Mus musculus: one gene and its partners. The protein of the gene in region 1 interacts with the protein of each later gene in a pairwise test. Links are inferred from orthologs where the notes say so. Each region holds a gene or a part of one and is shown on either strand. Other genes may lie near its edges. The genes, in order: Ralbp1, Amotl2 and Tsfm.

Region 1 (3,745 bases):
ATGTGGTGTTCCTTAAGGGGGAGGGAAGACTGCTGAGAAACAGCCAATAAATATGCTCTTTATTTGCACCTCCATTAGCACAAATAAATAATAAAAAAAAGTGTGCATAGATTACTCCTGGATTGGCTCACGTAAACGCGGCACTTAAAGGCTCTGCAGAAACTATGGCTCAGAAGGAAGTCAGTCTTCACTCTTGCTTTTCCCTCTCCCTTGCTGTGTCCCCCACTTCTCTGCTTTCAGCCTTATTCACTTCCACGGTGAACGAGTCACGTGATGTTACACGTAAATTACTCAGTTAAAAAAAAAAAAAAAAGCCTCTTTCCCCACCTCATTATCCCATATGTCAATTCCAGGGAAGGCTCCATAAAGCCCCGCTCAGGCAGTGCTTATCCCTTGACCAAATCAGAACTGCCAGCGGGAAGGAGTAATTTAACTGGCGTACTCACAGGCCATCTTCTCATGGAGGCTGTTTTATTGCTACAGGGGTTGTGGAAAGGTCCCTCTAGGACCTCAGTGTTCCACTGGGAGTGACTCTTTTGCACAAGGGGATGGACTTGTCATATTTGAGCAAAGATGGCTTGGGAGTGTAGCACACGATGGATCAGTGAAGAAGCAGACACTAGAAATCTCATCTCTCTTCTGACTGCCAATGTCATAAACCCAGAATAATTCCATGGAGTGCTGTTTATTACAGTATGCACCAGCCAACACGTTTTCCGTCCTTCGTGGGGGACTTCTGGAGGATACGCAGCTGTTTCTATTTGTAAGCTGAACGTGATGCTGTGCGGCTTTAACTCGGGTATGGATTGCTAACTGCGGAGGCAAGTGGGTGGGAGCCAGCAGTTTCCCGCAAGTCAACACACTTCAGGGGTCCTGCGGATTGCCCAGCCCTGGCCCCAGAAGCCTCCTTTCTCCAAACCCCCAGGCAAGAATTCTCCAAAGGAAGATCTCCGCCCAAAGAAGGCCAGCAAGGTGCTCCGCCCAGAGGCGGGGTGGGTCAGCAGCCCAGGCTGGTTTAACTGGTTGGAACCACTTAAAGTACGCAGACGCTGGGGGGAAAAGTGTCACTCTCAGTAGCTGCGGACACCAGGCCAGAGCTTGGGGAGGAACGCGCTTTCTTTCCAGCAGAGCTCCGCAGGGCTCCCACACTGTTTTCACTTGGATTCGCTCCGGTAGGTGTGTGTGTTCCACTCGCTCCCCAGAACACTGCGCAGGCGCCTGCAGAGCCTTAGCGTTTGGCGCATCCTCTCGCGGGTTCCCTGTTCCCCCTTAACGAGTTCCAGCTCGGGAGGCGCGGTGCTTTCTGGGCGTTGTGGTTTATGTCGGAGACAAGGGCCCTACAGCAGCGGGGCGTTGGGTTAACTAGAACTACAACTCCCGGCGTGCCCCACGCGAGGACGCGGGGCGTTTGCCCTAGCCGGCCCTAGCCGTCACGGCCAAGGAGCCGAGGACCCGGGAAGCCGGCTGCGGCGGGAGGAGGGCGTGCGCGTGCGCGCTGGGCCGGCTCGTCCTGTTCTGTCCCAATCATTGTAAACAGGCGAAGGCTGGGCGGGGTGGGAATGGGGCTCCCGCGGCCGGCCCGGGGTGCAGCGCAGGAGGCGGCGGTTGTGGCGGAAGCGTGAGTGCGAGGAGGCGGCGGCGGCTGCAGCGGAGCGGACGGTCGCTCGGCGGCAGGCACTGGTCAGTGGCGGGGAGCGGACGCTCGCGGGGGTCGCAACGCTGCGGCGGTGTCCGTGGGAGCCGTCGGGCGCCCGGCCTCGCGCCCGCGCCTGTCACGCAGCGTGCCGGGCTTGGGATCCCGGGCTCGGAATGGGAGTTGGGGGTGGGGGGCGTGGCCGCCCCGCCTTACGTTGTCCGTGAAAGCTTCACCCCGGAGCTTGCTCCTTTGGGGTGGGTCACGCCGCCTGCCCGACAGGCCTCCTTGGGAGCACCCGGGTGTGTCCTGTGTTGCTCTGGGACCCAGAGGCTAGTTGGGAGTCCAGCTGCTTCCTCGGACCCTTCCAGGCCTCGGGGCATCCCTGCGGGCCACACCTGGCCGGAGCTGCGGCCGGGGACTGGCCTGACGCAAGCCTTCCGGTTTATGGGTCGCATCTGCCTCGCGCATCTGGCTCGCCCACCTGTCTCCGTGTTTGCCGGGTAGAGTCGGGGGAACAGCTCCTGTTGTCGCCCGTGGCAGGCGTTGGGCAAGGGGACGACCCTGTTTGCAGTGGTACTTGTTCCAGGGTTCAGAAGTGTTCTGTCTGATCTGGAGTTAGGAGCTCCATTCTCAACGGCGTTTTCAAGCGTTTTCGTACCAGAGTGTTCTCAGTCGAGGCCAGCTTTCTTTTTCCATCTTTTAAATATGTCGTTGTGAAACAGGTTTGACGAATTACTCCACTTTCCAGTCTCCTGAAGTAGGTAGGGCTGGTTCAAGTTTGGAGATTATTACAAGGATTCTTCCAGAGAGAGCAGCGTGCGTACCCTAAGGTTTTTAGAGATCACAGCTGTTTTCATTAGAGGTCTGTGCTTGTGACAGAAGTGCTATAGTGTGGGCATTGAGCTGTTGCACTGCCCAGCTTTGGTGGTGTTGATGGAACGGGGGTGGGCTAACACTGGTGCTTTGGGGTAGCATTACCTATACTTGGCCGTTATTAACAAAGTACTCAGTGATAAGTTATAAGCCTACTTTTGGTTTAGTGTTCAGACAGCACTTTAAGGAAAGGTCCCATCACTTTCTGTAGTAGGAATTATCTCGATGATTTCAAGGTCCTGGATGTCTTCTTCAAAATGAAGAACTCCTGTTAGTGGTGTTAGCATTTTCAGAGGTCTGCAGTCAGTAGAGTGCTTCTTGTTTTTCAGTGTGTCCCATAGACCCAAGAGAGATAGGTTAGTTTAATAGCAGTTGCTGTTAAGTAAATTTTAAAACGAAGTATCTAGAAGCCAGCTGGTGGTGGCACACACCTTCAGTCCCAGCTCTCTGGAGGCAGAGCTCTGTGAGTTTGAAGTCAGCCTTGTTACAGAGCGGGTTCCAGTATAGCCAGGGCTAAACAGAAATCCTGTCTCAAACAACAAACAAACAAACAATCACAGAGAATCTAGAAACAAGTTACAATAGCTGAATTTGCTGTCTTTTTCAAAATGTGGTTTCTCATAATAAGTTTACAGGGACCATTTTCCTCGTAATTTGGAGAGACCGAAGTGGTGTTTTAAAAAGTGTGTACTGGCGCTGGAGACAGGACTCACTGGTTAAGACGTTTGCAGTGTGACTCTTGGAGAGTTACAGAGTTTGTTCCCCAGTAACTGTTCCCAACTGCCTGTAAGTCCAGCTCCCAGGAAACCCAAGACCTCTGGTCTCCACAGGCAATGGCCCTCCTCCCCCCATAATTAAAAATAATAAAAAATTTTAAAAGTGAATATTAACTTTATTTTGTACAGTTACACTTGCATAGTCACAGCTCGGGAAGAAACGATTAGGTCCACAACAGTATCCCAAAGTATGTTCCGTTATTTTCTTTTTTTGTGGTGGTGGGGGGTGGACAGGGGTGTCAGGGTCTCACTGTGGAGTCCTGGCTGGCCTGGATCCTTCTTCCTATGTGGATGCTTGAACTGAGAACACATAGAGCTTCCTGCTTCTGGCTCCTAAGTGCTAGGATTGGATGTATGCCCAGCTATTCTTTTCTTTTAAAAAGAAAGTTCCTGATAGACTTTATGCTAATATAGGTAAGACAGAACATGGGGAAATGCAGATGATTTAGAATAAAGGGGT
Region 2 (3,745 bases), on another chromosome or scaffold:
CTCCAAGGAAGCCTGGGGGCTCCCCGTGCCCCCAGCTCCAGCCCCACCCCGCAGGGCCTGCTGCTGGATAGCCAGCAGAGTGCGAGTCTCTGTCAGGTTGCCGTAGCGCAGCTGCTCTTGGATGAGACGGTGCAGGACTGTCCCTGAGGAGTCTTCCAGTGTCCTCATGCTTCTCTGGCTTGCACACACCTGCCTAGACAATGGCCAGCAGGCACCTGGTCTCAGAGCACCTAAGAGACAGAAAGAATAGCAGTCAAAGGAAGCACAAACAAAGGAGGGAGGGGCACTTGCAGGAACACTCTGGATGAAGGAGGAGGCTGGGTGGGTAGGTGGGTGGTTTTACACAGGCCCAGATGCAAGTGCTAATATGGCCATCTATTGATTAAGTTTAGTTACTGAGCTTCTGATCCTTAGTTTGCCATTAATATAAATATATATATGCATATATGTATATACATACATATATATGTACACACACACACACACACACACACACACACACACACAGTGTGTCTCTTGGAGTTGAAATGTAAGAAGCTGAGCGCCTGGTATGCTATAAATCCTTGGCAAATGCTTATCATTGTAACATTTATGGAGATTTAGCTGATCTTACAGATATACAACAGAAAACCAGAAGGCTATCTCATATCACAGTCCCCGGCAGTCAGCCATTACCCCAAACAATCTCATGGGCAAACTGTAGGACAGGCGTCCATCAAATTCAACCACTTAGCAATAGGGTTCCCAGTTTACTGGCAGGCGGTAAAGAAAGAATGTAGCCCAGCAGAAAGAAGCCCTAAGCAAATAATTCCATTGATTCTTTAGAATAAAGACGCGTGAGCCAGACCCTGGGCTCAAAGGCTGCTGATAAAATAAATCTGAGTCTCCCTGTCACAGATGACCTTAGCAGCCACTCTGCAAGGTGAGCAGCACAAGAAGCCCCATGGAAATTGGTGAGGAGGCAGAGGGGAGCTTGCAGTAACTGAGCCAGGGAAACATTTTCCATGACCACCAACCTCTTTTCTTGGCACACACATTTGCTACTTAGAAAAACCCCTCCCTACGTGTATGCTAGAGGCACACAGGGGATGATCCCTCTGCATCTCTGTTGATATTAGTAACAACTACCTATGCCAGTTGATGGGGTAATGAGGCGAGGGGGGAGACAAAGGAAGGGGGTGGTGGCCCCTTTCTGTGCCATACTAATGCTAGCCCCCTGTCCTACCTCAGTTTGGGAATGGTATGTTGGCAGAGCTGGAGAAAGGTAATGAGCCCTGACGATACCCAAGCCAGCAACTAATCCTCCCCCCCCCCCCCAACTGCACCCTGCAATGTGTAAGACTTGAAGAGTCTGCTCACACGCGGCTTTTTCTACGCGGTATTTCCTAAGTTAATCACTGTCTGGGCTGACTCGCGCTAAGGATCCGGGAGCGGCTAGAAGGAATGCTGAGCCTTCCCGGCAGATTCCAGGCGCGCCGACTATGAGCCAGGCTCTCGGAGCACCGAACATTTCCGAGGCCTTTCATCGCACAAACGTCCCAATCGAATCCCCTAGATGCACAATCTTTCTTTCAAATACTTATATAAGAGCACTTACTGAAAATCAACTTCCTTACACGGGCGCTGTACCTGGGCTGCACTGGAGCGCTGCACTCGGAAAACCAGCCACCTTTCTAAGCAAACACGGGTCTCTGGCCTTGGCCTGGGCTCACTCCAGCAAAAGGAACCAACGCTAGTCTCCAAGTCAACCAGGCCAGTCCAGGGTCCCGGCGTTACTCACCTCTACCGAGGCAGACCACTAGCACCGGTGGCTGCCCGAGCGCCCCGGGCGAGCAAAACCCGCAACCGCGAGAGGTCTTTAAGCATCGCGGGTACGCCTCTCTCCCTAACCCTCTTTGTTTTCCAAATACTTCAGCGCTGACGTCACCGGACTGGACAGCAGGCTGCATTCTTTCTAAGTGAGAGCCAGTTCGTGGCTCCGCAGAGGATTTTCCAAGGAAGACAAAGAGGAATTCTTGAGCTAGCTGAGGGTAAAAGCCACCTGTATCCCCAATCCAGACAAAGCAGCCACGGTAACCTCATAATTCAGCGAGATATGCCTACCGCAGCTTTTCACTTGCCCCGCACGCGAGACGCACACTCCCAAACACTGATCCTCTGTCCTTCCTCCAGCCCCAGTGGGTCGGAGAATGGTGTCCTCACCCCCACAAAAGCGCGAGCAGTCTAGGCTAGACACCCAGGATCGATCCTCGAAAGGGTTCACAGTCTCCCCTCCCGCTCCCGGGGAGGCTCGTCCACCCCAGCTCCGATCTCCAGAAAGGGTCGGACTGATCGCGGTGTCCCGCTGCTGCTGGGAAGCGTCCCCGCCGGCCTCGCGCACTGCCCGGAGTGCCCGGCACCTTGCTTACCGCTGCGGCCCGCGGCTGCCGGCGCACGCAGACCCGGTTCGGCTTAGGTACAGTCAGCAACGGAGGTGCGCACTAGTCGGTGGCGCCGATGATCTGCTTGCTCGCGCCCCAGTGCGCAGCCTCTAGGTCAGCCCGCGCTGGAGGCGGCTGCTATGCCAGGAATGTGAGAGTTTCAGGTTCCCCCTCGGGATCAAAGCGAACCACAAATAACCTCTCAGCGCGCCGCCCTCCTCCGCTCTCCGCCTCCCTCCGCTCCCCGGGCCAGCCCCCGCCTTCCTCCCGGGAGGCGGCGCTGCGGCTGGCCGCTGGGCTGGCCTCAGCCTTGTCCCCTTGCCACTCTGGGCTCTGGCGGCCGTGCGGCATTCATTCCCTGCCACCCTGCTTTGTGTCCTAGCTGTTGGGAGTGTCTTAACCAACTCGTCCCAAGATCGCCCCACCACTGCCCGCACCGGGTTCTCACCCTCCATTCCTACAGGCACCGAGGGACGACTCCAGGGATCAGCCTCTCACGCCCCTATGGTGGCTGTAAGAAGGGTCTGTGGCGTTTTGGAAATGGCGGGAGGACTGCACAGCAGTTCACATCCGCCCAGCCTTGACAGTGTTGCAGACGAAACGATGTTTCGGCCCGCCGCTGCCCAGCCTCTTTCCTAACTCCTACTATTTCACCCCCCAGCGGCAAACTTTGAATTGCACTTTTATTGTTTACAAACACCTTGGCCAGCTCTTTTAATCCTGCCTCTACAGGAAGTGTGTGAATCTGGGTTGAAAATCTGGTGGATTTAACCCACTACCTAACTAAATGAATCAACCACTCACTGGGCATTCGGTCCAACTCCTCCCTAACTCCGCTCATCTTTAAGCCAAGCACGCGGCGGGTCACCACTTGCTTTTTACTCGGCCATCCGACTCCAGTAACCCTCCGACGGTGCTCTTATCATGTCTGTAATAAATAAGAAACCAAGGTTCAGAGAGTCTAAACAACTTGCCTAGGGTCACACAGAGAGTAGCCAATGAAGCCAGGTCCCTTTTCTTGGTCTTCAAAATCCGGTCTCCGTAACCTGACAAGGCAGAGAGTCTCTGCTTCCACCTACCTGTCCCGAGTTTCAGTGTCTTTTCCACCTCGTCTACACCTAGCCAACCCTCTTTGTCTTCCGCTTCTCTGGCTTTTGGTGTGGAATCGACTCCTTTGTCATTTGGACCCTTCTACTTCCCCAGGAGACTCCTCCAGCTTAGCTGCTCTGACTCCCTCCCCTCCCCGCCCCCCCCACCCTCTTTCTGGTTAGAGCGTGCATTCCTCAGTCCCATCCACCTCGAATCAGGACCAATTTCTGCTGCGG
Region 3 (3,745 bases), on another chromosome or scaffold:
GGGTTCAATCCTCAATCACTCACCCCAAAAAGGTAAAAAAAGAAAAAGAACAGACCCTAAAATGTGGAAGACAAAAACTCAGCAAGCTGGAGCCGACCCTCACGCTCACCTTACTGTACGTGGAGAGCCGATCCGTCAGGTTCTGACAGTGTGCCATGGTTCCCAGGGCTACTTGCTGGACCAACTGTTGAAATTTTAAATTTCTGGAGACAAAATCTGTCTCACAGTTTACCTGTGGGAATGCATGGATATTGCTGTATAAGCTGTTTACTAATAGTTTCTAAAAGTGCCTTAAGGTTGGAGACCTGTCCAAGGTATTGACGGAACAAGCTGCAGGCCCACAGTTCCGGGGTGGCAGAAGCCAGGGAACTAGTCAGCCGAGGCCTGCATACCCAGCAGGATTCCAGAACACCCTGAGGGACTCGCACCATGGCCACTTCACCTACTGTTTGTGAAAGTGTCTCAGGCTGGCCTTGAACTCGTTAGGTAGACCAGGACGACCCTGAGCTGACCTTCTGGCCTCTACCTCCCGTGCACTAGAATTACACCCACAAACTACCATGTTCATCTCCCAAACCACATTTGTTTATGTTGTTCCTTTCTTGTAGCTTTATCTGTTTTTTACACGCCTTGACCCCACAGACTCCTCTAAGCCTGCTACTTACTAGTCATCAATACACCGAGTAATACATTACTATAATTACCAACTTTCTTACCGTGTTTTTTGTTTTGTTTTGTTTAAGAGTAAAGGCCAGGATTCCAGCTTGTAGCCTAGCTGCCCTCAAACTCACAGTAATCCTCCGGCCTCCCAAGTATGGAGTGAACACAGGCGAGAGCTGCCGCACCCTGCTACTAGTTTCTAAGTCCACCACTTACAGTCTAACATTTTAAGTCTAACATTTAGAATAAATGATCTAGGTTGCTAGGACAATTCCCATCAAGACATTTATATTCTTTTTTTTTTTTACCTTTAATATTTACTTATTATATATGAGAACACTGTAGCTGTCTTCAGACACACTAGAGGAGGGCATCAGACTCCATTGCAGATGGTTGTGAGCCACCATGTGGTTGCTGGGAATTGAACTCAGGACCTCAGGAAGGGTAGTCAGTGCTCTTAACCACTGTGCCATCTCTCAAGCCCTGCATTTACATTCTTAATCCCGTCACATAACGGAGGCCTTGGGGACTTCACTCGAGCCACCGCTTACAGATTCCTTAAGCATGCAAAGGGTCCACCACAGATCGTACTCTCCAAGATACAGCTGTTTCTAGTATGTGGCATCCCAACAACGCACCTCTACTAAAACAGCTGTGTTTCCCTCCTGCAGAAGTCCAATCAAGCCTTCTTTAGTCTTCCTCCCGTGGAGCTTGGCGGCTTTGCTCCATCCTTCCTTCTGGGCCTGTTTGTGCAGCCAGTCCTCTGCCTACAAATGCAAAAGAAACAGAGGGGAAAGTCAGTCACAGGAACTAGAAATGAAAGGTACTTTAAAATATGTCCAAACCATATATGACTTTTTATAATTTCTTTTTCTTTAATGATTTATTTATCTTATGTATGAGTACACTGTATCTGTCTTCAGACACACCAGAAGAGGGCATCAGACCCCACTGCAGATGGTTGTGAGCCACTATGTGGTTGCTGGGAATTGAACTCAGGACCTCTGGAAGAGCAGCCAGTGCTCTTAACCGCTGAGCCATCTCTCCAGCCCCCATATGACTTTTTCTGCACACCCACATTCTATAAGAGAAACTACTAAATGCTTTACACCAAGCGCTGTAGTCGCTGTTGCTTCTCTACTTTTAATCTTTACAACCCCACTATAGGATAGATGGTAGTGTTTTCATTATACAGACAACGCTGACAACACGAAAGGATTCATTGCGATCTCCAGAGTTTGAGCGGGTGTGAGAGCCTCTGGAGTCTAACTCCTAAATTTATACAAACACCGATCTCCAGGCAGCAGCAAATCTCATAGCCATAAGGAACATGGAATTCAGCAAGTTAAGTTTCTAGGTTAACTGCTTCCAGTGAAAACGCAGTCGAAGGGTAAAGCTCTCGTTTAAGCCAAATTTTCCTCTTTGGCCAGTTCTGTCGCACAGGACACTGGGCAGCAGCAGGTCATGTCTATGCTCCGCAGAGTGACCCCCGGAAGGAAAGAATGGGGTGGAGCCGTAGCACCAAATCTCGCAGCACCTCCTCCCACCTGCTTGAGGTCACCGCCACAAGTCTCCAGAGCCTTCTTGCAGTTGACAAAGGAGTAGCCGGTTTTCCGCCGCAGTTTCATAAGGAGCTCCTTGCTGGAGGCAGCAGAGGACAGCGAGGGGCCGGCGTGAAACGTGAGCCATGGCTGGGACGGCTGGAGCAGGACAGCCCTCGCCTGGGGAGAGTAAGGAGAAAGGGATGAGCTCCCGGAGCAGAACGGGAGGAGGGGGAGCACCATCCGCGGGGCCAGGGTCGGGAGAAGGGAAGGGCGCGCGCGCTCACCGAGCGGCCGGTGCACGCGACCGGGAAGAAGCGCAGCGACCGCAGAAGCGACATCCCTCTGGCCCTCCCGCCCATCGGCGCACAGACGGGACGCCGGCCTACGGCGTGGCGCGAGAGCCAAAACGCCTCCCAGAACGCGTGGCGCGAGGATGCTGCCACCTGCTGGCAGGAGGGATGTGCCCGCTTCTTTTAAATTCATTAAAATATTTCACAAAAGACTTAGCGGTAAAGTTGCTGCGAAATAACAACACAAGACATGTAGGTGACACTTTGTTTCTTTATTTCCAATGTACTTTTATATTCATTATCCATTTATGAGTCCGGACACACACACACACACACACACACACACACACACACACACACACACACACACACGGCAGGTAAGTAGGGTGGGCTCAGGAAATTGCCCAAGGTCACCTGGAGAAGCAGAGTTCCTTCAACAAACCCAATAAATAATTGCTGAATTAGTAAAATATCTACTGAACATATGTGTGCCCGGAGCTGTTGCTAGTTTCAGGGGATCGGTGATGCATAAATCATAGCTCTACCCTCCAATGCATCTATTGGTCTGAGGAAATAAGAATCGGGTAAGGCAATATAAGGTCCCTAACCAGTTAAAAGATCTCCAGTCAAGGAAACCACATCCAAACAGAAAGCTCGGGAAAAGGAGTGGTTTCTTCTTATTTTTCTTTTTCTTTTTTCTTTTTTTGATTCCAGAAGCAAAGCATAAGTGTAGACAGAGAGCAATGGCCCTTCCTGGAAGGGATCATCGGAAAAGTGGAGAGGCCAGGGAATGCCCATAGAGTTAGGGAACAAAGCGTTAAGACACTTTAGCTAAAAGTGCAAAAGAAGCAGAGTAGGAAATGAGATACAAAGTAGTTTAGGAGCAGGTGTGTGTGGCCTGAGTACCAAGCAAAGACGTTTGTTCTGACAGTAGAAGCTAATTAGAGCAGGTTTTGGAAGATGGCAAGAGCTTGAGGCGTGGCATCTAGGTTAAGAGAACAGTGGCAGACACATCAAAGATGGTTGTGTGCCGAAAGGCTAAGTAAAAAAAGAGCCAGACTGCTGCAGAGAGGGAGAGACAAGAACCGAAGGCAAAACAAGAAGGAAAACCTGACGTGGAAGGAAGAACTAGAGATTAGAAGAACCTCGAACCCAATCCAGAATGTGATCACATGATGCCTGTGATCAGGTCTTGAGCTTTGCAAAGGATGAAGAAGCTACAGACCAACGGGACATCTCTGATTCTCCTCC

Evidence for each region.
Region 2: the proteins of Ralbp1 (region 1) and Amotl2 interact in binary tests that used the Homo sapiens proteins (3 or more experiments, as listed by UniProt). The two-hybrid records come from large-scale screens. The link is inferred for Mus musculus from reciprocal best matches to the Homo sapiens genes RALBP1 and AMOTL2.
Region 3: the proteins of Ralbp1 (region 1) and Tsfm interact in binary tests that used the Homo sapiens proteins (3 or more experiments, as listed by UniProt). The two-hybrid records come from large-scale screens. The link is inferred for Mus musculus from reciprocal best matches to the Homo sapiens genes RALBP1 and TSFM.

The regions. Positions count from the first base shown.
Region 1 is NC_000083.6:65,882,613-65,886,357, reverse strand, and holds the start of Ralbp1 (ralA-binding protein 1), read left to right. Parts: upstream 1-1,434; 5' UTR 1,435-1,680; intron 1,681-3,745. UniProt on the Homo sapiens protein: Multifunctional protein that functions as a downstream effector of RALA and RALB. As a GTPase-activating protein/GAP can inactivate CDC42 and RAC1 by stimulating their GTPase activity.
Region 2 is NC_000075.6:102,716,566-102,720,310, reverse strand, and holds the start of Amotl2 (angiomotin-like protein 2), read right to left. Parts: upstream 2,508-3,745; 5' UTR 2,409-2,507; intron 1,919-2,408; exon of another isoform or gene 1,598-1,918; intron 231-1,597; coding exon of another isoform or gene 169-230; coding exon 1-168. UniProt on the Homo sapiens protein: Regulates the translocation of phosphorylated SRC to peripheral cell-matrix adhesion sites. Required for proper architecture of actin filaments.
Region 3 is NC_000076.6:127,028,256-127,032,000, forward strand, and holds the start of Tsfm (elongation factor Ts, mitochondrial precursor), read right to left. Parts: upstream 2,560-3,745; 5' UTR 2,543-2,559; coding exon 2,489-2,542; intron 2,382-2,488; coding exon 2,208-2,381; intron 1,428-2,207; coding exon 1,299-1,427; intron 233-1,298; coding exon 110-232; intron 1-109. UniProt on the Homo sapiens protein: Associates with the EF-Tu.GDP complex and induces the exchange of GDP to GTP. It remains bound to the aminoacyl-tRNA.EF-Tu.GTP complex up to the GTP hydrolysis stage on the ribosome.